Oryctolagus cuniculus: one gene and its partners. The protein of the gene in region 1 interacts with the protein of each later gene in a pairwise test. Links are inferred from orthologs where the notes say so. Each region holds a gene or a part of one and is shown in the gene's direction. Other genes may lie near its edges.

Region 1 (4,223 bases):
CACGTGCTGGACCAGGCCAGAGAGCGGCCCAGAGCTTCCTCCTGGTCACCACCTCTGCTCCTGGCTCTGCGGCCGCTGTGCTGGGGGGGGGGGCAGTGGGTGTCTCCATGGGTGTCACAGCCGGGTTCCCGTGACAGAGGCCGAGGGTGCCGGGTGGCGGCTGGGGCAGGGCCCAGGTGCAGTGCACCTGCCCACGATCGCCAGGCTAGAATCTCCCAGCGCACTGAGCTCGGAGCAGAGTCAGAGGTGGCTGGGTAAGGGGCGGGGGTGGTGGAGGAGGTGCGGGGCGGGGCCGGGGGTGGGCAGGCACTTCCTCCGAACAGCCTGGTCACTTGTGACCGTGGCTCATCGGCTGCACACCAGGATCCTGCAGGCTGCAGGCTGCGTGCTCCTGGGGACCCCAGGGCCTGCCTGCAGGGCCCCAGCAGAATGGCCGCTGTAGGTTTGCTCTGGCTTCTTCCCACTTTGGGGGTCTCCCTGGAGGGCTGGGCCGGGTGTGGCCGGGAGGGGAGAGGACTCGGAGCAGGAAGAGCAGATCTTGCTGGGGCCACCCCTGCCCTTCTCTGGGCCTCAGTTTCCCCAGGACTGAGGGGCCCTGCACCAACGCTGCCCAGCTGTCCGGTCAGGGGGATTCTGAGCTGGATGCCCAGGTCCGGAGGAGCCCTCGCGGGAGGGAGCAGGCAGGTCTGTGGCTCTTTCTCGCCGGCTGCCACAGGCTCTGACCCGGGGGGCCGGAGGCAGGGCAGGGGCTGAGCATGGGAGGCTGTGGCCCGCCCAGGGAAGCCGGCCCAGCCTGGACGGGGTGGGGGGTGGACACTGGCTCTAGGACAGGCCCAGGAACCTCTTGTCGCCCTGCAGGCAGCTGAGCCCCAGCCAGGCCCCCCCCCCCCAGGAATTTCTGGGGATGCTTTCGGAGGGGACAAGAGCTTGAGGTCCTGAGTTGCTGAGGGTGGGTCTGGCCTGGCCGGAGGGGCCGGTGGGACCCTCTGCACCATGACTGCTCCCCTGTCCCCGTCTGCGCCTCCCAGTGCCGCCTCCTGCAGGAAGCTCCCCTGGACTCTGGCTCTGTGGCCTGCTCCCCAGAGGCCCGTAATTCGAGGGGCCAGTGCTGGGTGGAGGCCGGAGCGCCAGGTTTTGACGGTGAAGCAGGAAAGGGCGTGGGGTTGCGAGAGCCCCGCTTTGGGAATGGGGTTGGGATCCGGCGGCCACAGTAAGATGGGCAACAGGTGCCACAGTTGCCCTGCCCGGCACCCAGCCAGCGTCCAGGATCCATGGCCGGTCCCTGGGACGGGCTGCCTGGGCTGCACCAGGGGAGCTAGGAGGACCCTCTGCCCAGGCCTGGGACAGTTTCCAGCAACAGCAGATCAGCCCCAGGCTGCCTGCAGGTGCTGGGTTGTCACAGGTGCTGGGTGGCCACAGCTGCTCCCTCCTCATCGCGATGCATCCAAACGCCCGCCCTGCCCCACCCCGCCCACGGAGAACATGGACTCAGGCGCTCAGCGTGCGCGCCTCACCTGGCAGGCGCAGGGGGCTGGCACGAGCCGCAACATGCAGTCAGGCTCACGTGAGCCGCCCAGGGGCCAGCCCGCTGGTGCCAGCTCCCCGGCCTGGCTTCAAGGTCGGGCCTTGGCTTTTCCAGGCTGGGTCTCCCCAGGTAAGGGCTGCTTCCCTGCGGCTCAGCCAAGTCAACAGGGCTATGGAGCTGGGGGGGGGGGCATCCGGGCCGTGCCAGGCACCCCCTGGGGGGGTGGATTTGCAGGTGGAGCTGAGGTCTCCCGGGCCGGGCCGTGTCCCCAGGCACAGCGGCCCCGCTCACTGTGCTCCTGAGCCTCTCTAGGTCCTGATGCCACCTGGTCGTCTCAGCGGGGCGATGTGGGGAGAGTGGGGGGCCTTCCGGGCCTCACTGCGCCCCCGCCCTGCCCTGTGTCAGTGCAGGGACTTCACGGCGCACACGGGCTACGAGGTGCTACTGCAGCGGCTGCTGGACGGCAGGAAGATGTGCAAGGACGTGGAGGAGCTGCTGCGGCAGAGGTGAGCGGGGGGAGCGAGGCGCCCCCACACCCCTGCTTCACAGAAGCCAGGGTGAGGCCGCCCTGCACCGCTGCCTGGGTTTGGCCCACGGTTGTTTCCAGGCCCCAGGGGTGGGGCGCTGGCGGCTGGCGTCCTGGGGGCCCGACGGCACGTGCTTGGCTTTTGCAGGGCCCAGGCGGAGGAGCGTTACGGCAAGGAGCTGGTGCAGATCGCACGGAAGGCCGGCGGACAGACGGAGATCAAGTGAGCGCTCCCGCAGCCCTCGCTGGCCGTCCTGGGCCTCAGACCGGGCGCAGGGCCTCCTGGGGCAGGGGACCCTCCTTGGAGCACCGTGTGCAGGGAAGAAGCCCCAAGGGACTGGAGGCTGGAGGGCCCTGATCCCTGGGCGCCTGCGTGTGCAGCCCCAGTCCTGAGAGGCAGGCGCCAGCCCTCTACGGGCTCGGCCGGGCTCCCAGGGTGGATGTGCGGCCAGGACTCGGGGCTGGGGACACACTGGCTCCCGTGCCAGCTCTCCGCACGCCTGCTGTGTGACCTGGGCTGGCCACGCACACTGTGATGGAGCAATACTGCAGCCCCTCCTCGGGGGCCATGTGGGTGTGGCTCGGGGTGGGGGCAGGGCTGTCTGAAGCTGCTGGGCCTCCCTGTGGTCCGAGGCCCCCACAGCCTGCGGGACAGGGCCCGGAGCGGCTGACCTCAGCGGGAAGGGGTCGTCCTGGCCTGGGGCTGCTCCTGGAAGGCGCAGGTGCTCCTGGGCGAGGGCCAGCTGGGCGCCCCAACTTCTCCCCCTGCCCAGGGGCCAGCAGCTGCCGTAGCAACCCCGTCCCTCACCCCTGCTTCCCTGGTGGTCAGGCCTGCGACGTGCCTGGCCACGCCCAAGAGACAGACCCAAGCGTACGACCCTGTTTCGAGACAGGGACCCTGGTGGGCCCCACTAGGAGCCGGAACAGAGACGGAAGGGCTGGTGGGAGATTTAAAGCTGCATGAGCCAGGGGAGACTCCTGTCCAGTGCCCAGAGGGGCCGTGCTGTGTGGCTCTGGGCAAGACGCTCCACCTCTCTGAGTCGGTGCTCATCTGCCCGCTTCAGCGGGCTGCCCTGTGGCTCCCTTAGGGTGCAGAGCGGGGCAGGAAGGCCTGTGGGACCTGGCTGGGGGAGGGGTGTGTGGGATCCCTGCTGCCTGTGCCTCCCAGGCCAGCTGGGGAACATGGACTTTCCTGGAAAAAGGGGGTGGGCCCGTGGGAGGGGAGGCGGGGGACTGCGGAGGCGGCCCGGGAGAGTTCCCCAGGGGGCCGTGAGTCACCAGGGACGGTGGCACGGAGGCTTGAGGTCGCTCAGAGACCCGGGGGGTGGGGGCAGGAGCTGCAAAGGGGCTCAGGACCGTTTCTAAAGTGTGGAGGCCGTGGGCTTGCCTGGGGCAGGGTCTGCGCTGACTCATTACTGGGTGGCCCTGGGGTGGTCACACCCTCTCCGAGATCTGGGTCCCTGCCTGGGACGGGCTGCTCCAGGCAGTCACAGACCCCACCTCGCAGGCATGGGGTCCTCACGGCTCACAGACCCCACCTCCTGGTGTGTGGCTGGGGGCCTGGCTGGGCACCCTGGCCATTTGCTTTGGGACTGGGGGAAGTGGCACAGGGAGTTGGAGGCTGGGAGTAGGGGGTGGGGCTTTAATCCAGAGGCTGCACCCAGGCAGGGAGGGGACTGGAGCCTGGGCTGGGGGTGCCAGGTGCGGGGGCTCGGCCATAGCATCAGAACCTGAGCGGCCCCTCAGCCCAGCCCCCAAGGCCTCAGGGCAGGTGGGGAGAGGTGTGGGGAAATCTGCACTGGGCGGCCAGAGGAGCAGGTGCAAGGGCGGAGCAGGGTGGGGGAGGCACTTCTGGGGGAGGCAGGGTCTGGGGGTGCTCCTGCCATAGGAGGAGGGCAAGCCCAGGGTCCACTGACAGTGCGGGAGCTGAGCCCCCCGCAGCTCCCCCCCAGGGGCCCCAGCTCAGCTAACTGCACACAGTCGGTGCTCTGTAAGTGCTGCTGTGAGGCCACGTACCCTTCCCGTTCTTCACCTGTGGGCCAGGCAGGCACTGTTTGCCCATGGAGTCCGCGAGCACTTACGCAGCGCCGACTGTGTGCCGTGTCCTGGACCGGGGTGTGTGTGTTGGGGGCGGGGGGAGGAATCCAGGAGTTAAACACAGATTCAAGGGTC
Region 2 (4,103 bases), on another chromosome or scaffold:
TAAGGGTAGGAAAATGGTTTCTTATAATAACGGTGTATACATAAACGTGGACCTTTTTGAATACTGTTGGAGCTAATGCAGGCTTGCCCAGTCAACAAAGTGTCACGTGGGTTATGCAAGTAGCATCTCATTTAAGCCCCATTCACTGAGCATTCAGGAGCCTACACTGTGTCAGGTGCAGTCCCAGCTGGACCAAGCAGGTGTTCTGTTTATAGGTGGGAATCTGAAGCCCAGAGAGTGAGCCATGTTTATGGTCACACAGTAAGTTCAATGCTCTGCTGTTAGTTTGTGCCAAGATCTATGCCTTTAAATTTTTTTTAAATAAAGATTTGTTTACTTGAAAGGCAGAGTGATGGAGAGAGAGAGAGAGACAACTTCCGTCTGCCGGTTCACTCCCCAAATGACCAAACTGGCCAGGGCTGTTCCAGGCCAAAGCCAGGAGCCAGTATCCCCATCTAGGTCTCCCACGTGGGTGGCTGGAGCCCAAGCACTTGAGCCATCAGCTGCTGCTTTCCCAGGCAGAACAGCAGGGAGCTGGATCAGAACTGCAGCAGCCAGGATTCCAGCAGGCTTTCCTTAGAGGACGCCAGCCTTGCAAGTGGCCGCTTCACCTTCTGCTCCACGGTGCCAGCCCCTCCTAAAGATGTAACCCATGTGCAAACAGCTGACGATGGGAAATGCCACGGAGACAACTTCAGGGGTTGGGAACTCTTTTCTGCCGAGTGCCATTTGGAAATTTGTAACATCTCCGTGGGCCGTGGAGCATTACCAACTTAAAAGTTAGCCTGCTCCACGAGTCCCGCCTGCAGCTGCCTTGGCAGGGCCGGACCAAGTGATAGTTCCCCAGCCTTGGTAGAGAGTAGTTGGTTCCCAGGAAATGGGGGGGGGGGGGACGGAAACATCCTCTCCTGTCCTCTGTGCACCAGGGAAGAGCTGGAGCAGTTCTCTGTGGGTTACGGAGGCGAGGGCGGCGCAAGGGTCTGCAAATGCACGCGGCTGCGAGGCCGAAGCCGCTCCCTGGGTGGCGCAAGGTGGGGGTGGGCTGCTCCTCGGGCGGACGCCCCTGTCGGCTGCAGGGAGCCCAGGCGCCCGGCGGACGCCCACACATCCGGCGCTCAGTGCCTGCCCAGCCCAGCGCTCCAGGGGATCCAGCCCCGGCGCCGCGTCCCCGCCCTGGCGCAGGCGCCTTTAACTCCCGGGCTCCTCCCGCCCCTTAGGAATCCAATGAGAGAGGGGCGGCCGGCGCGAGGGCCAATGGGCGCCGGCGACAGTGCGGGGTGTGGTTGCCAGGGGGCGGGGCCCGGCCGCCGGCCAGACTTGCCACCCCAGCAGCGGCGTCTGGGGGTCTGCCCCTGCTTGCCGTTCCGGAGAGCCGGCCATGGAGGCGTCGCGCTGTGGACTGGCTCCCCACGGGTACAGGTCGGAAAGGCACGCACGAGGCTGGTCTCCCGTGGAGCGGACAGAGGGACGAGGGCGGAGGCTCCGGGGGAGAGGGCGGGGCGTCGGGCGGGGGCGGCGCGCCCCCTCCCCGCTTTCAACCTGGGACCCTCAGATTCGGACAGGCGGGCGTCGGGGAGCGCGGGCTCGCAGACCCTCGGTACCCAGAGAGGGCTTTTTGTGCAGGTCGCCGCTCGGGCTCCTGGAGTTTCTTGAGAAGCTGGCCTCGTTTACCCAGTGCGGGGTCCTCGTCCACGCCGCGGGGGGGACAAGTTTTGAAGATGAAGGGGAGAAGTTTAATGCACTAGTGGATGAGGAGGGTAGCAGACCGTGGATTCAAGAACAGCCGTCCTGGGTCTGGGGTGTTAGGGAGGACGTGGCCGCTGGCTGGTCAGGAGCACAGGGCGCCCAAGGTAACAGGGTATTTTATAAGTCTCCGAAGTTGATGGCTTGGATTTATCAGGAGGGCGTGGCAGGATGTTCTGTACAGCTGAGAAGGAGGCCAGGTATCCTGTCAAAGAGATTTTTCCCTGGCTCCTTCGCCCAGGTGAAGCCCGTTCGTTCAGCAAAGAGCGGCTGCTGGGCTGTGCTCCTAGTAACCCCTTTGCATTCTGTCAGGGTGAATTCAGTTCAGTGACTTTCTCTGGTTGTGTTGGCCCGGAGGGATGCATTGCTTTGCAACTTCAGCTGGCTTCGCCAAGGCCGCTTTCTGGGATTCACAAGCGAGTGCAATGTGTGTGTGAGAGCAGATGCGCAGTGTAGTTAGTCCCAAACTCAGCAGGTAGCTTGTGTTCATCTGAATACGACAAGGACTAGAAAGGGGGCTTCAGCGTGGTTGCATCCCTGCTCCGCCGGGCCCCCGTCTCTGGCTGCTCTGCCCCTCCATGTCTCAGCCGAGGAGCCACCAAGACTTCCCGCGATGAGGCCAGGCGGAGGTTGAGGGTGATATTTAGTCATCTGCTCCACCGCCGTTGCTTTTGGCAGGCAGTGCTGAGTTCTGGAAGGGAGTCGCCAGGCTGAAAATGGGGAACTGGATTTTCTTCCCCCTGCTTTCCCGTGGCTGCCTCTCAAGCGGGATGTTCTGCCTTGTTTTCTGATGTACTCTAGACTTTGTGCCCTCCCCCGTTCCTGCCCCTGCCGGAGGGAAAGCCCGGGAAAGGAAAGAATCCGAACCTCAGCCTGTGGATTTTCTTGTTGACGAGGCTAATGAAAAGTTAACAAGGAGCAGTGCGGCTTAAAGCTTTGGCCCTCCCGTCTGAAGATTCAGATCCTACTGGCCAGTCCTGCCTGTTCCCAGCCTTTTATTCCATTACCACGGCAAACGAACACTTGGCATTTGAGGGTTTAGTCTGGTGCTTAACTAGTAGACGTTTAGATGATTCTGAATCATTTTTAAAAGCTGTCACAGGGCTGGCGCCGCGGCTCACTAAGCTAATCCTCCGCCTTGCAGCGCCGGCACACCGGGTTCTAGTCCCGGTCGGGGCGCCGGATTCTGTCCCGGTTGCCCCTCTTCCAGGCCAGCTCTCTGCTGTGGCCAGGGAGTGCAGTGGAGGATGTCCTAAGTGCTTGGGCCCTGCACCCATGGGAGACCAGGATAAGTACCTGGCTCCTGCCATCGGATCAGCGTGGTGCGCTGGCCGCAGCGCGCTGGCCACAGTGGCCATTGGAGGGTGAACCAACGGCAAAAGGAAGACCTTTCTCTCTGTCTCTCTCTCTCACTGACCACTCTGCCTGCCAAAAAAAAAAAAAAAAAAAGCTGTCACAGAGGAGGCGCTCAGGGAGAGAGCCCCCGTTTTCCTCCCCGAATGAGTCCTGTTTGTGATGGCTGCATTCGTTGTTGCTTTTTTCCCCTCCAAGTCAAGAGGAAAAGAAAAAATCTACATTTTCAAATACAGGTATGGAGATGCTGTGTAGAGATGAAGTCAGCACTCAGTTTCTCTGAATTGAGATGGCACTTGTTCAGTTGTGGACGGTCAGTTTTCAGTTGAATTTAAAGCAGTAAATTTCGTGAGCACCAGATGTTTGATATGACTCATGATGTTTGAACAAGAAAAAGAAAATGAGGTGGACTTGGAAATTAGAGCCAGGAGGCAAAAAATTTTTTTTATTGTACCTGAAGTTTAAAGATGTAAATTTAAAGTTTCTCCCCTCTTTTTCTTCCTAGAGAAACCAGCTGCTTATTAAAACTGACATCAAAGGGGAACGTGTGAGTCCCTGAGTGTGTTTGCTGGGCTGGGTAATGTTAGTGCAGCTTCTGCCACTGTAGCATTCGCTGCTGTAGCCACTGTTGCATCCGTCTCTTGTCCAAAGGGAGTGCGTGTCTTTTGCTGTTGGGCTTCAGGTTGTGTGTTCCGTGTCCTTTTGATGAAATACATTGATAAGTTTTCAGTATTAATACTTTATGTGAGGATAGCATCTTTTAGTTTTGCAGTGATTTTATTTTTCTCTGAACTCTGTGACTGTTGAAAAGAAATCCGCCTCATGGAAAAACAGAGCGGAAGAATTATTAACAAGTACGCTTCAACTGTTTCCCTCCTCTAACATATTTCGTGAGGCTTGGAGACCGAGCCGGGAGCAACACTCCAGATTTGCTTGAAGCCGGGCGTTGTGTGCGTTTTAACGAGCACAGGTTACCCGCAGACCACCGGGTTTGGTGAGCATTGGAA
Region 3 (2,351 bases), on another chromosome or scaffold:
CACGCCAGAGACTCTTGTCGCCATCTTCAGTGTCCGAGATCCAGACTCTGGAGACAACGGAAGGATGGTTTGCTCTATTCAGGATGACCTCCCCTTCCTTTTGAAGCCCACTTTCAAGAACTTCTACACCCTGGTAACCGATGGAGCGCTGGACAGGGAGGCCAGGGCCGAGTACAACATCACCATCACCGTGTCCGACCTGGGCACGCCCAGGCTGACCACCCGGCACCACGTCGCGGTGCAGGTGTCCGACGTGAACGACAACGCCCCGGCCTTCAGCCAGGCCGCCTACACCCTGCTGGTGCGCGAGAACAACAGCCCCGGGCTGCTCATCGGCTCCGTGAGCGCCAGCGACAGGGACGCGGGCGCCAACGCGCAGGTGACCTACTCGCTGCTGCCGCCGCCACAGCAGCCCGACGTGGCGGCGCTCGTGTCGGTGCACGCGGACAGCGGGCAGCTGTACGCGCTGCGCGCGCTGGACTACGAGGCCCTGCGCGCCTTCGAGTTCGGCGTGCGCGCCGCCGACCGCGGCTCCCCGGCGCTGAGCAGCGAGGCGCGCGTGCGCGTGCAGCTGCTGGACGCCAACGACCACGCGCCGGCCGTGCTGTACCCGCCGGCCAACGGCTCGGCCGCCTGCCCCGAGCTGGTGCCGCGCGCGGCCGACGCGGGCTACCTGGTGACCAAGGTGGTGGCGGTGGACGGCGACGCGGGCCAGAACGCCTGGCTGTCGTTCGAGCTGCTCAAGGCCACGGAGCCCGGGCTGTTCGGCGTGTGGGCGCACAGCGGCGAGGTGCGCACGGCGCGGCCGCTGAGCGAGCGCGACGCGCCCAGGCAGCGGCTGCTGGTGCTGGTGCGCGACCACGGCGAGCCGCCGCTGTCGGCCAGCGTCACGCTGCACGTGCTGCTGGTGGACGGCTTCTCGCAGCCCTACCTGGCGCTGCCCGAGGCGGCGGCGGCGGCCGAGGCGGCGCGGCCCGACTCGCTCACGGTGCAGCTGGTGGTGGCGCTGGCGGCGGTGTCGTCGCTCTTGGTGCTGAGTGTGCTGGCGCTGGTGGCGGCGCGGCTGTGCGGCGGGGGCGGGGGCGGGGTGGGGGCGGGGTGTGCGGTTGGCGGCGGCGGCGGCGGCGCGGGTGCGGAGGGCCGCTTCCCGGGGCCGCTGCTGGACGTGAGCGGCGGCGGGACGCTGTCGCACAGCTACCAGTACGAGGTGCGCCTGACGGGCGACGCTGGGACCGGGGAGTTCAAGTTCATGAAGCCCATTAGCCCCAATCTTCAAGTCTCTGACGTTGGTAGGAATATAGAAGAAAGTGAAAACTTCCGTAATAGCTTCGGATTCAACATTCAATAAGATAATATTTTTAAACTTCTAATCTTTTATTCTCGTAAAACTGCTGATTTTTTTTGTCTAAACTTTAATGCATTTTATATCATCTGGTAGTTGCATGCAGTATTTCTTATGCTGTCTTCAGAGTTTCTTTAGAACTCATTTAATAACTGTGCATCCGTGCTTTCTGGGTTTTTATTTAGTCAAAAGTGTATTAATCAAATTACTACTGCTTCTTGCTATGATAGTGATATTGTTGTGCAAGACAATATTTTTAATTATTTGGATATGGAACCTAAAGTATTAAGACTAAATGTCATTATTAATTTACTTATACACACCATCAAAACAGACAAATCAGAAATAAAAATGTTGAATGAGTACAAAGAATATTGGTTTTATTGCACTGTTTTCTAAAATTTTTCATCATAAATGTAACATACTATCGCCTCTTTTTGAGTTCTGGAGAAAGTTATTTTTCAAGAATTCATGTTGTAGGAAAATTAAAGTGATTACATTGTAAGTGATCGATTTCTTAAGTGGTTTTTTCTTTAAGTATTTTTGTTGTTTTTAATGCTTGTGAGGAGTATTACAATATTCTGTGCTTTGGTATTGCTATATTGTTTTCTTTAAATATTTCAGATTTACTCATTTTTAATAGATTTATGTTTTCACTTGAGAGGCAGTTACAGAGAGAGGGAGAGAAAGAATATTCACCACCAGCAAGGGCTGGGCCAGGCCCAAGCCAGGAACCTGGAACTCCATCCAGATCTGTGTGAGTGTAGGGGCCCAAGCACTTGGGCCATCTTCTGCTGCTTTCCCAGGAACATTCACAGGGAACTGGATCAGAAGTGGAGCAACCTGGACTTGAACCTGTAGCCATATGGGAGGCTGGCGCTGCAGGCAATGGCTTAACTATGCCAGAATGCCAGCCACCAGCCGTGTTTACTCATTTAAATTTGTATTTAGATTTTTCTTTACTAAAACAGATAATAGTTCATGGTCTCATCCTGAATAACTTCATGAA
Region 4 (4,283 bases), on another chromosome or scaffold:
TTCTACGAGGCTGTGGGGCCGAACGGGGCCCCCACCCAAGCCCACACCCGCCGGTTCCGCCGTCGGGAGAAGCCCGGGGCTGGATCCCGCGTGGGGCGGGTCCCAAAGGCAGCAGGTGGACCTGCAAGACCCGGATGGAGCCTGGCCCGGACCTACCGCCAGCTCCCTGCGCATGCGCACCCTGGGCGGCCGCAGGTGGACCTGCGAGACCCAGCGTGAGCCTGGCCCGGACCGGCCGTCTGGGGAGGAACCAGCGGGCAGAAGCTCTCCCCCCAACCCCCCTCCGTCATTTGACAGGCAGAGCCCCTACCCGCCGCCTCCCAGGTGCCTTGGCGGCATCAGAGCAGAGCCGGGGCTCGAACCAGGGGACTCGAACCAGCGTCGAACCAGCTTACGCCGGCCGGGCCTCTGCCGCAGCAGACCCTGGGTTTCAGCGCCCCAGGCCCCCGCGTAGGAGGGGCCGGGCCTGTGCGCTCCCGCTCCCGGCGCCCGGAGACTCCAGAGAGGGGCAGGCTCTGCCCTGGGCGGGGCCGCGGGGCCTGCGGGGGAGGGGGCTTGAAAGCTAAGGTTATCTGGGGGCAAAAATAAAAAAGCAGAATCCACAAACTCTCTCCTGTGTGCTTTCTCTTCACACCTTTTATTCTTTAAAAACTTTATTTTTGTTTATTTGCAAGACACAGGGACGGGGGAGAATCTTCCACTAGGTGAGGTCAAAGCCAGGAGCTGGGAACTCCTTCCGGGTCGCCGGGGGCCCAAGCAGTGAGCCACGGCTGCTGCTGGCCAGCGTCCGCGTGCGCAGTCCAGCAGGGCCGGGGCTTGAACCCGGGTGCTGAGATGTGGATGGAACCGGGACTTGAACCCAGGGCGCTCGGATATGGCCTGGGCCGGGGCCGGGTTTCGAACCCGGGTGCTCAGATGTGGCCAGGGCCGGGACTCGAACCCGGGCCCTTGGATGTGGCAGGGGCCGGGGCTCGAACCCGGGCCCTTGGATGTGGCAGGGGCCGGGGCTCGAACCCGGGCCCTGGGATGTGGCCGGGGCCGGGACTCGAACCCAGTAAACTAGGATCTGGTCCGCGGGCGTCCTCAAATCCGGGCCACACGCTCACCTGGGGAACCGATCTCTCGAGTCCGCAAACACCTGACGTCACATTGACGTCACCTGCTAGTTCGGGGACTGCGCTGCGCCAGCATCGCTAAGGGCCGCCGGTTCGAGTCCCGGCCGCCCCACTTCCAACCAAGCACAAGAACGAGACCGAGACGCAAACCCGGCGCCATCACGGCCCGGCCCACACCGCGGAGCCCGGGCGACAGGACCGGCTCCTCTCTGCGCATGCGCAGCTACCCACAATGCAGCCGGCGCGCGCTGCTCCGCCCCCTTTTGCATCACTCGCCACGGCACTTTACGGCTCCGTCGCGGATTCTTCTGGCGGGAAGTTAGTCCCACCCCCTCGTGCTTCGAAGACCCGCCCTTCTGTCCGGGGATTGGTTATGCGTCCCCGTCGCCCCGCGGTGACTGGCTCCCGCTCCTGCCACTCCTTTTCAGGCTTGTGGCGCGCGGCGGGGCGGCGACCGGCGGCAGCGTGATCGGCGGCGGCGGCGGCGGAAGTGGCCGGGGAGCCCGGTCCCCGCCGACACCATGGTGAGGGCCGGGCGCCGTCGGGGTCTGACCGGGAGGCGGGGTGCGGCTGGGGGTGGGCACGCGGCCGTCGGCGGCCTTCGGGTTGGGCCGTGGGGGTCGGGGCGGTGCGCTCCGGACGTGCGGGCGCAGCGTCCAGTCCCGCCCCCAGCCCCGAGCCGGGGAAACTGACCCGAGACGGCAGGTGCCTCGCCCGGGGCACCAGTACGTTGTTCTCCGAGGTTCACGGCTGGGCCGCCGTTAATCAAGGCTCAGCAGGTCAGCTGCGCGCTGTCCACTTTCCAGACGGGGAAACTGAGGCCGGAGGGGGCGGGGACCCCGCCGTCGGGCACTGTGGCTCGTGGGTGCCGCTGGGGGCTTCCGGCCCAGGGCAGGGTCCCCAAAGCGGGGCCGTGCGTTTCTCAGAGCCGGGGCCCGGTGGCCGGCGCCCGCTGCACGCCTGACGGCGGGGCTGGCCACCACGGCTGGCGGGCACTGCCCCTGGGAGTCCCCAGCTTCCGCCTGCTGCCGAGTTTCCTGGCCCAGGGGTGCAGGAGTCCTGTGGTCAGGGCGGGGCCTGGGGTGGGGGCGCCCACGGAGGGTCGCCCCGAGTTAGGAGCCCTTGGGTGTCGTCTTTGTCTTTGGTTTTTACGCACTGGAAAGAGAGGGAAAGGCAGGTGCAGAAAAGCCCCAGACGGCTCGGGGCTGGGGCAGAGCCAGGCCAGGAGCTGCACCCGGGTCTCCCACGCAGGTGCCGGCCCCCCCAGGCGCTCCGTCCGGGTCTCCCACGCAGGTGCACGGCCCCAAGGAGCTCCGTCCGCGTCTCCCACGCAGGTGCAGGGCCCCAAGGAGCTCCATCCGGGTCTCCCGCGCAGGTGCAGGGCCCCAAGGAGCTCCGTCCGGGTCTCCCACGCAGGTGCAGGGGCCCGAGCGCTTGGGCCATCTTCCACTGTTTTCCCAGGCGCGTTAGCGGCGAGCTGGGCGGGAAGTGGAGCAGCCGGGACTCGGGATGGGCGCGGGTGTCCCTAGCCGGTCTGCGGGGAAGCGAAGCGCCCTGGGCTGCGCCTGCCCCTCCGCGCGGGCGCTCCTAGTTCCTCCCCTTGGACCTGTGGCTCCCGCTCCTCCCTTTCCTTGGCGGCCGCCGGGCCCGGGGTGGTGCTGCCTTAACCTCCTGCAAATATTTACCCTGGCCCCCGCGCCCGCGCGCCCTCCCGCGGGGGCAGCCTCCACGCCCACTGCGGGTTTTCCAGTCTAGCCGGGGAGACAGGTAATAAACACACGCGATAATTAGACGCCGGCTGCAGCCTATAATGAAATAAACAGCCGCGCGCCCCAGGGTGCCCATTAGCTGGGCCTGGCCCAGGGAGGTGACAGGGGGCGGAGGGAGGCGGCCCCGGGGCTGTGGCTGCCACCTGCCGGGGTCACGGGCCGGGGCGAGCGCCCAGGTGCCTGTGGCGGGGAGAGAAGCCCCACCCCCAGCCAGCGTGAGGCCCTGTGTCCCTGCGCCCCAGCGTGGCTGGCGACACACGGCATCCAGATGACAAGCAGGGGCCGCCCCGCCCCCACCGCCGCCCCCTCTCCACGTGGCCCCTTCTTCCTCCTGAGCCCGGCCTCCAGGAAGCCGGGGCAGGAAGTGGGCTTGGGCCTGGCTTCCTGCTGCCCCCGGCCTCCCCTCCCCCAGGGGCGCTGCTGGGGAGGGCCCGCGGCGGGGGGGGGGTCTCCTCCTAGCTCACGCAGGAGGCTGGGGGGCGCAGGCCATCGCCCACTGGCGGAGCCGCCTTGCGTGGGGCGGGGGTTCCTGCCGGTTGGAGCAGACTCAGGTCCTCTGACGCCCGCGCGGCCCCTGGCAGACCCGGAGGGGGTCCCTCCTGGACAGGTCACGCCCACCCCACCCTGGCCCGGTGACCGGAGCACTGGGTCATCTTCAGCTGTGCCCCGCGCAGGAGCTGCGTCAGAGCCGGGGCTCAGCTCCACAGCGCCCCCAGCTGTCCGCCCGCCGGCTCCCCTGGGGCGGGGGGCTGCCCTGGGACGGACGCGGTCCCTGCGCTTCCGCACACAGGCCAGGGCCCCAGACCATGGCAGGGGGTGGCCCAGGAGCCCCCCGCAGGCGCAGCATCCCGGGAGCACCGGCTCCCTGCGGAGGGCCTGGGAGGCAGCGGGGAGGGGAGGGCCCCGCGCTGGGCCCCCGCCCCCACCGCCCACGCGGGAGACCCGGATGGAGGCCCTGGCTTCGGCCCGGCCTTTAGTTGTTTGAAAGGCAGAGATACGGGCGCCCTGCAGGCCCCAGGCTCCTCCGTGAACTTTCTGAATGCGGTCATATCTGCACCTCAGCTGGGCTCATCCAGCCAGGCGCGTGATTTATTTACTTTATGGGAGGGAGAGAGGTCCCACGTGCGCAGTCACTCCCCAGAGCCCGGAGCGCCATCCCGGGGCTCCCAGCCAGGGCGCGCATGCGCGGGGAGCTGAGCGGGCCCTACCCGGGGGCCCCCAGCCTGGGACGCAGCCGCCCTGACCAGGACGCCCAGCGCACACCCCTGTAAATCCGCGCGGTTATTGGTAAAAATGAGCAGAGCGGGCCTTGCGTAGACCTGAAGTCTTGGCGCGGCCTATGGGCCCTGCGTGGAGCCGTCCCCGCTCGGCCCGGGCCTGCGTGTGTTCTGGAATGTTC
Region 5 (3,500 bases), on another chromosome or scaffold:
TTGTTGTTGTTGTTGTTTTCTTTTTTTAGAGATGTATTTTATCTATTTGAAAGAGTTACAGGGAGAGATAGAGACAGAGAGAAGTCTTCCATCTGCTGGCTCACTCCTCAAGTGGCTGCAACAGCCAGAGCTAAGCTGATCCAAAGCTAGAAGCTTCCTCACATTCTCCTATGAAGGTGCAGGGGCCCAAGGACTTGGGCCATCCTCCTATGCTTTTCCAGGCATATTAGCAGGAGCTGCATTGGAAGTGGAGCAACCAGGACTTGAACTGATGCCCATATGGGATGCCGGCACTGCAGGCTGGGGCTTGAACCAGCTGCACCACAGTGCTGACCCCTATTTGGAAAGATGAAAGTAAATTACTGTAGTTTTAAAAACTTAAAATGAATAATTGTAAGTATCTGTTTTATTGATAATGCACACTCTTGCTCTGTCTTGAAAGTCACTATCCTAAACTGTCTGTGGTTTAACTGATAAGGCAAAAAATAATATGCTTGGTGGCAACTGATGTAGAGGCTTCATTATAATACCTCAGATGACTGGCTTTTAGAATGATTAAATTATCAGCTGTGGTGTCGTGTTTTGGGATTTTCTTCCTCCTTCCTTTCCCAGTTGCTATCCAAATAATTCAGAGTTGATTGTTAGAGAAAATCAAATCCTATGGAAAGATAAAGTGATTAAATGTGAGATACAGTGGTAGGTACTGAGTGAGTGACTGTGGTATTTCTGTTACGGGATTGTGGGGATGATTACTACATAGCAAATGTCTTCATCAGTTTTGTAAAATTATAAATACAACTTAGATAAGTGAATTGATGGCTTTTAGAATTATTTTGTTTTTGTTTTGGTATGTATATATTTTTACTGATTCTCAGATCTTTCTCAATTTTAGGAAGATGAACAAGCAAGAACAGATTATTTCATTAGGACACTCTTACTTGAATTTCAGAATGTAAGTACTTTCCATTAAAGATAATCTCTTAAGGATACTTTCCAAATAGGAGATTATATATGAATAGCATACTATTTACATAGTTAAGAAAGCTTGGTAGTTCTTTAAGTAATGTAAAATACTGAAGAAGAAAATCACAGTGTATATTTTACGTAGTATGTTGAGCCTTATGCTTATCAAATTATGTAATAAAATAATTAAAATTTTAACTTAGAACAACATTCCTAAATTAAATTTGTTGTATTTAAAATAATTAGGCTTTCTTTGACACAATAAAGCAGGTTACAGTGTTTATATAATGATTACCCACTTTGACTAGTTTATGGATTTTTAGAAAGTTAACCATCAACATTTAGATACATGTTTTAACTTGAAGCCCTTGATTTCATTATGTCAGAACTGTATAAAATGATAGTTTCTCCAGAAAAGAATAAAAAATCTGATGGACATTAGAAAATACTTATCCTCATTGCTCTGTTTTTATCATAATTTTTAAACCATAATAAGTAGTTTAGTATGGCTGTGAAGTACATCCCTCTTCCCAACTCATGCATTCACACTTAAGGCCTCCTGTCCTGTTTATGTGTGTCCTCCCACCTGGCTTTACTATTTGGCTCCCTCTAGATGCATCACTTATTATACTTTGCTGCTATTTTTAAATCTATAGTAGTAAGGATGAGTATCTTAATGAATTTCTATAGTGTATCAGGTACCTCAATCCTCTTAACTTTGTAACAGTAGATATTATTATCTACATCGTATATAATCTTGTTACCTAACAAGACAAAGGCTTTGAAAAGATAAATAGCTTACCTAAAACTACTAATCAAATGGCAGGAAAATATTTGAGTAACTTTGCTTAAATCTCAAGCCCAATTCTTTCTGTTCAACACCTAGAATAACTGTTCTGAGAACAATTTTTACATCAGAATTCCCTTATATTCTTATCCGAAAGAGCTTTTGTTTATACAGGTTATATCTTTTAATATTTACTGGGATTAAAACTGAGAAATTTTTTAAAAACATGAAAACAAGCATATATTCCATTAGCTATTGAAGAAAAAAAGCAAATAACATGTTAGCATTTTTCTCAAAATAGTTTAGAACTCATGGCCACCCACCAGAAAGGGTTCCTAGACTATATTTCAAGAACTGCCGATCCATAGTAAGACAAATGGATTGAGGTTGGACAGATGTGCTTCTTTCTCTGTTTAATATTTACTTAGTCTTCTAATTACAGTATATTCTAACACAGTACTCATAGTATATTACTCACCAAGTTTAATAGTGTGTATTTAGTTAAATGGCGTATTGACAGTTAATGTTTACATTCTGAAGTTAAGGCCGCCTGGGTAAGATCCCACATTTGTCGCTTCTGTGATACTTTCAGCAAGTTGTTTCATCTTTCTGTCTCAATTTCCTTAACCCTGAAATGAGAATAGAATTAACAGTACCTTCCTTATGAGAATTGAATAAATTATTGCATATGACCTCCTTAAATAGGTAGTCAATATATGCAGGCTGTTATTGTTTTTAATGTGGTGCTTAGTACCTAACCAGATGTCTTAGATAAGTCAGTTAAGTGTGATATAAAGCTTTAAAATTGGCAAATATATTTTCATAACTGTTGGATTTCCATTTTTTTAAAGGAGTCTCGGAGGCTGTATCAGTTTCATTATGTAAACTGGCCAGACCATGATGTTCCTTCATCATTTGATTCTATTCTAGACATGATAAGCTTAATGAGGAAGTATCAAGAACATGAAGATGTGCCCATTTGCATTCATTGCAGGTATAAGTTTCCCAAACATTCAAATATAGTAGTTTTTTTTAAGTTTGATGTTGGTTTTATTTCTGCATTAATATAATGAATCCTGAATTTCTTCTATACGGTATGGGTCTGAGGCCTGTAATCTCATGGCTGATTATTTAAATGTTACATTAAAATGTAAGATCATCTATTTGAAAATGGTGGGATGCTTACTAATTAAAGCATGTAGTCTAATCAGTATCCATTATACCCTGCTTTTTAAAGTCAATACTGTAATATTTAGATTAACTAAGAAAGACAAAAGTACACAATAGAATTTTTTGTGGATAGATCAGTTTACCTCAAACAGTGGCCAAGCAAGTTTCATGTCTCATAAACATTGGTATGGGTTTTCTTATGTATATGGATGTACATACTTAAGATCTTAGTTGATCTAAAGTACCATCAGTTCTAAGACATACTAATGTTTTATATACACTAAGAATGAAATTGTCTGCCAATTAAAACAGAAATAGGTTGCTTGTAAGAAGCCATTAGTGATGATATAGATACTAATTTCAGAAATGTCATAATGTAGGTTTATTTTTTATTTATTTATTTTTAAGGGCGTTGTTGTTTTTTTGGTTTTTTGTTTCTTTGTTTTTCTTTTTTTTTTCTTTTCTTTTCTTTTCTTTTCTTTTCTTTTCTTTTTTTTTTTTTTTTTGACAGGCAGAGTTAGTAGACAGTGAAAGAGAGAGAGACAGAGAGAAAGATCTTCCTTTTTCCATTGGTTCACTC
Region 6 (3,608 bases), on another chromosome or scaffold:
CAGGTGTCACCGTGGGTGCTGGGATGGGGGCGTCGGCCATAGGCAGGTCATGCTGGAGAGCTAGCAGGTCCCTGGGCCCCTGTGTATTCTCACATGCAGCAGCAGGGCTGGGTTTGCTTGCTCCAGGCCTTTCCAGAAAGTGGGCTCGGCACACCCTCACTGGCTACCTCTAGCACTGCCTGTGGACCCGGTCTAACCTTACCTGAGCCGTGGTGGCCTTGGGCTCTGTGCCCTTGGAATTTGGCTTCCTTATGTCATGCTTCTTTCCTCAGTTACCTCTTTAGGCTGCCATCCCTTGTCCCCACATCCCTAACCTGCACTGTCCCCAGCCCAAGCCGTGGGAGAACTTTCTAAGCTTAACAGCCATCCTTCCTACTGCCATTGCCGCCTCACTCTCTACCCCGAAGGAACAGCCGCAGCGGCTGAGCCCTTGGTTCCCAGGCTCCCTCACCTCAGTGCCTTGCTCACACACACACACACACACACACACTCACACACAGAGGCCCCCTTCTCATCATCTAATACTCAAAGACTGACCACATGTCCTCCCAAGGCAGACTTCCCACCTCACTCCAAGACAGGCGCTGTCTGCCATGATCAGACCCGAATGACCACTGTGATGCTCAGTTTAACCCATTGCTTGTGCCTTGCACTAGCGACCTCTGTGTTTTGTCATCCCATACATGATCTCATCCCACTTCCAGAGTGATTTTAGCAGGCAGATAATATTATTGCAGGGGCAGAAACTTGAACCCAGTGAGACTAAGTATTTGCCCCAAATCCTACAGCCAGAAGGGCAGAGCCAGGACCACAATGAGGCAAGGAGCCCAGGGAGCAGAATTTAAGGAGGTCCTCATCCTCAGACCTGTCCTGCCCTTGCATGACCCTGAGGAATGGGTGCTTCTTTAAGTTTTATGCCTCAAGCCTTGCTTGTCTCACCCTAGTCCTGGCCCTGGATTGAGCAGCCAGGATATGCAAATGAAGAGCCTGGAGGAGGTCCTTGGAGCAGGTGTTTAGACAGTGGCTGAAGGTGCTGCTGTTAGGGGACCAGGCAGGTCTCACAGAGCCGTGCCCGCCATGTGTGTCCAATCAAGCCACTTGCCCACAGCCCACTGTATCTGCCCGCACTCGCATGGTTCTTTGTCTAGACTTCTTTGGTGGCCCTGAGCTCTTCCCAGAGACGGACTTTGGGATTCGCAGGCCTGGTTCATTGCTTCCTTGAGTTTAGGCTTCCTGAGGACAGTGTTTGTGTCTGAGTCATTGCTGCCCCTGGCAATGGCACCTACCGCCTGGCGGAGGAGGCACACATGTTGGCAGAACAAATGAACAGAATGGGGTTGGGGGATGGGGATAGAGAAGGACTGCCACTGCTCCACAGCTGGGACCTGGGACCTCCCAGACACCACCCCAGCCTCCCCAAGGCACCGGAGGTGGCACCCAGGCTGTGTTTTATCTCTCCTGTGCCTTTCTCTTTGTGCTTAGAGCAGGTGGGCCGCTCCGCTGTCAGAGCCACAGGGCCTGGTTTGAGTCAAAGCGGCTGGGGCTTGCACTTGCAGCGGTCGGAGGCAGTTGGATTGATAGCATCAGCCCCCAGTTACAGGGGGATGCAAAGGCGGGACCGTGCCGCCCGAACGCACAGCCCCGTAAAGATGAATGAATGAACATCACTCGCTTACCCACAGATTCACACCACTTCTCTCCTGGCCCCCCCCCCACTGCAGCTGCTGCAAGGGTGGCCTTGGGCAGGGGCACAGGAAACCTAACTGGGAGCCTGAAGGAGCCAGAGGGGGCAGGCCTATGGGCGCTGAGCACCTAAGGGTTCCCGTAGAGTTTGTAACAGCACTGCAACAACTACATTTCTATTCGGTGTGGTCTGACGTCCTACAAGGCAGAACATCCCAGTGAGCGAAGAGAAGGGAGATTACTTCCTTCCCAAGCCCGAGAGGCTGGGCCATGACTTTCTGAGGGATGAGGAAGGTTCCCAAGGACTACAAAGCCTTGTGTGTGTCCCAGCCTCTCCCCAGAATGGGGGCCGCCTGACAGCAGGCAGGGGGTGGGAGCAGGGCTGACACAGAACGGGAGAGATACAGTTGCTCATGTGCCCTGTAGCCAATCGGATCTCATCACTGCGGGTGCAGTCCAGGGGTGGCACGGAGGCAGGGCCCCGGGGTCTGATGGTGCTCTCTGCTCCCGGAGCCCCAACACAAAGCCTCCACGTGTGCGTTTCCTCTCTCCGGTTCCCTGGGCTCTCGCTCTACCTGTGGTGAGCTTTTCTGTCTCTCCTGCGAGAGCTGGCAGGCTCGGCTGGATGGGAGGGGCCGCTTCCGCTTCCTCCTCCTCTTGGCACAGCGCGTGCCCAGGGCAGCTGGCATGCTGGTGTTCTGTTGTTGCAGACGAGCAGCAGGAGATGAGAGCGCAGAGAGCAGCGACCGAGGAAAGGGCCCGGAAGCTCCCTCCAATTCCAGCCTCCACGCCTGCAAATCCAGCAGCTGCCCAACCTCCCCCACCACCTGGGCACGGCTCCCAGGCCCCTGGGCATCGTCCCCTGCCTCCTGCCCACCGTGCCCAGCACCAGAAGCAGAAGAGGCCGCCTCCGTCGGGCACGCAAGGTCACCAGCAGAGAGGCCCTCCCCTCCCCAGACCCCGAGTTCAACCAAAACCTCCCCAAGGGACTGCAGAAAGCTCATTGGCTCCTTCCTCTAATTAGAAGAAATGGACCTTTCCCTTCGTGGATTTCTCCGCTCTGGGGGGCGTGGCCACACCGCCATCAGGTGGTCCCTGCACGCACGACGTCACCGACTCCCAAGGCTCGTGGGCCTCAGCCACGTGGGCTGCTCAGGCTGCCGTCTGCAGCCACTGGTCTCCTGGTCGCACTCGGCCGCCCTAGAAAGGGACAAACTCGAATTGTGGTTGTGAGGACCCAGCTGGTCTAGTGCTCTCCTGGTCTCCCTCCAGACCGCGTGCGAGCATGCTAGGGCGGGCTGGGGGACTGTGGGGCCTGGGGCTCCCTAAAGGGAGCCCCGTGTGCTTGAGGTCCTCTCTCCTGTGTCCTGGTGGACGCTCGCTCGCTGTCCTGTGAGCAGAAGGGAAATAAACGCTTTGGTTTCACCCCTGTGCCTGCTCGCTGTAGAAGGGAGCTCAGCGCCGTGGCGAGGAAGCTGGGGAGGAGGCTCGGTGGTGACAGAAGCATCAGCTTTGGCCGACCCCATTCGTCCAGTGCCCAGCAGCATGGTCACAATGTGCTGCTCCCCCCAGGCCTCCACTCCAAAGCTGGGCCCCCAAAAACTGGTTTGTAGATTTGTGTATCGTATTGAAAATGCTCCATACCAATCTCCATAGGTTTGGGCCTCACTTCCTTAGCAGCTTGGGCGTGGTCACAGTGCTCTGCAGAGCTGTCCCTGGAAGGGGAGGGGCCCCGGGTCCTGGCGGTGCCACGCGGAAGGGCCTGCCGGGGGACGGCCGCATTGAATCACACCCTTGCGTGTTGTAAAGGGCCAGGACTGGAGGAGCGGAGCCCGTCTTTTGGGGGACGCGGAGCAAAGAGTTTTCAGCTGCAGTTCTGAAACAGGCGGGGGACAGGCAGCTGCTTTGAGATACTGGTGTCATGC

Evidence for each region.
Region 2: the proteins of PSTPIP1 (region 1) and TULP3 interact in binary tests that used the Homo sapiens proteins (3 or more experiments, as listed by UniProt). The two-hybrid records come from large-scale screens. The link is inferred for Oryctolagus cuniculus from reciprocal best matches to the Homo sapiens genes PSTPIP1 and TULP3.
Region 3: the proteins of PSTPIP1 (region 1) and protocadherin beta-14 interact in binary tests that used the Homo sapiens proteins (3 or more experiments, as listed by UniProt). The two-hybrid records come from large-scale screens. The link is inferred for Oryctolagus cuniculus from reciprocal best matches to the Homo sapiens genes PSTPIP1 and PCDHB14.
Region 4: the proteins of PSTPIP1 (region 1) and LSM4 interact in binary tests that used the Homo sapiens proteins (3 or more experiments, as listed by UniProt). The two-hybrid records come from large-scale screens. The link is inferred for Oryctolagus cuniculus from reciprocal best matches to the Homo sapiens genes PSTPIP1 and LSM4.
Region 5: the proteins of PSTPIP1 (region 1) and PTPN12 interact in binary tests that used the Homo sapiens proteins (3 or more experiments, as listed by UniProt). The link is inferred for Oryctolagus cuniculus from reciprocal best matches to the Homo sapiens genes PSTPIP1 and PTPN12.
Region 6: the proteins of PSTPIP1 (region 1) and CD2 interact in a two-hybrid assay, tested with the Homo sapiens proteins (2 studies listed by BioGRID and IntAct). The link is inferred for Oryctolagus cuniculus from reciprocal best matches to the Homo sapiens genes PSTPIP1 and CD2.

The regions. Positions count from the first base shown.
Region 1 is NC_091443.1:107,548,565-107,552,787, forward strand, and holds the start of PSTPIP1 (proline-serine-threonine phosphatase-interacting protein 1), read left to right. Parts: upstream 1-1,423; 5' UTR 1,424-1,438; coding exon 1,439-1,654; intron 1,655-1,930; coding exon 1,931-2,031; intron 2,032-2,199; coding exon 2,200-2,274; intron 2,275-4,223. UniProt on the Homo sapiens protein: Involved in regulation of the actin cytoskeleton. May regulate WAS actin-bundling activity. Bridges the interaction between ABL1 and PTPN18 leading to ABL1 dephosphorylation.
Region 2 is NC_091440.1:106,431,258-106,435,360, reverse strand, and holds the start of TULP3 (tubby-related protein 3), read left to right. Parts: upstream 1-1,303; 5' UTR 1,304-1,378; coding exon 1,379-1,428; intron 1,429-4,103. UniProt on the Homo sapiens protein: Negative regulator of the Shh signaling transduction pathway: recruited to primary cilia via association with the IFT complex A (IFT-A) and is required for recruitment of G protein-coupled receptor GPR161 to cilia, a promoter of PKA-dependent basal repression machinery in Shh signaling.
Region 3 is NC_091437.1:28,761,700-28,764,050, forward strand, and holds the end of protocadherin beta-14, read left to right. Parts: coding exon 1-1,348; 3' UTR 1,349-1,851; downstream 1,852-2,351. UniProt on the Homo sapiens protein: Potential calcium-dependent cell-adhesion protein. May be involved in the establishment and maintenance of specific neuronal connections in the brain.
Region 4 is NC_091447.1:65,595,513-65,599,795, reverse strand, and holds the start of LSM4 (U6 snRNA-associated Sm-like protein LSm4), read left to right. Parts: upstream 1-1,483; 5' UTR 1,484-1,636; coding exon 1,637-1,639; intron 1,640-3,995; exon of another isoform or gene 3,996-4,171; intron 4,172-4,283. UniProt on the Homo sapiens protein: Plays a role in pre-mRNA splicing as component of the U4/U6-U5 tri-snRNP complex that is involved in spliceosome assembly, and as component of the precatalytic spliceosome (spliceosome B complex).
Region 5 is NC_091434.1:142,090,724-142,094,223, forward strand, and holds part of PTPN12 (tyrosine-protein phosphatase non-receptor type 12), read left to right. Parts: intron 1-892; coding exon 893-952; intron 953-2,601; coding exon 2,602-2,744; intron 2,745-3,500. UniProt on the Homo sapiens protein: Dephosphorylates a range of proteins, and thereby regulates cellular signaling cascades. Dephosphorylates cellular tyrosine kinases, such as ERBB2 and PTK2B/PYK2, and thereby regulates signaling via ERBB2 and PTK2B/PYK2.
Region 6 is NC_091438.1:53,714,333-53,717,940, reverse strand, and holds the end of CD2 (T-cell surface antigen CD2), read left to right. Parts: intron 1-2,393; coding exon 2,394-2,707; 3' UTR 2,708-3,108; downstream 3,109-3,608. UniProt on the Homo sapiens protein: CD2 interacts with lymphocyte function-associated antigen CD58 (LFA-3) and CD48/BCM1 to mediate adhesion between T-cells and other cell types. CD2 is implicated in the triggering of T-cells, the cytoplasmic domain is implicated in the signaling function.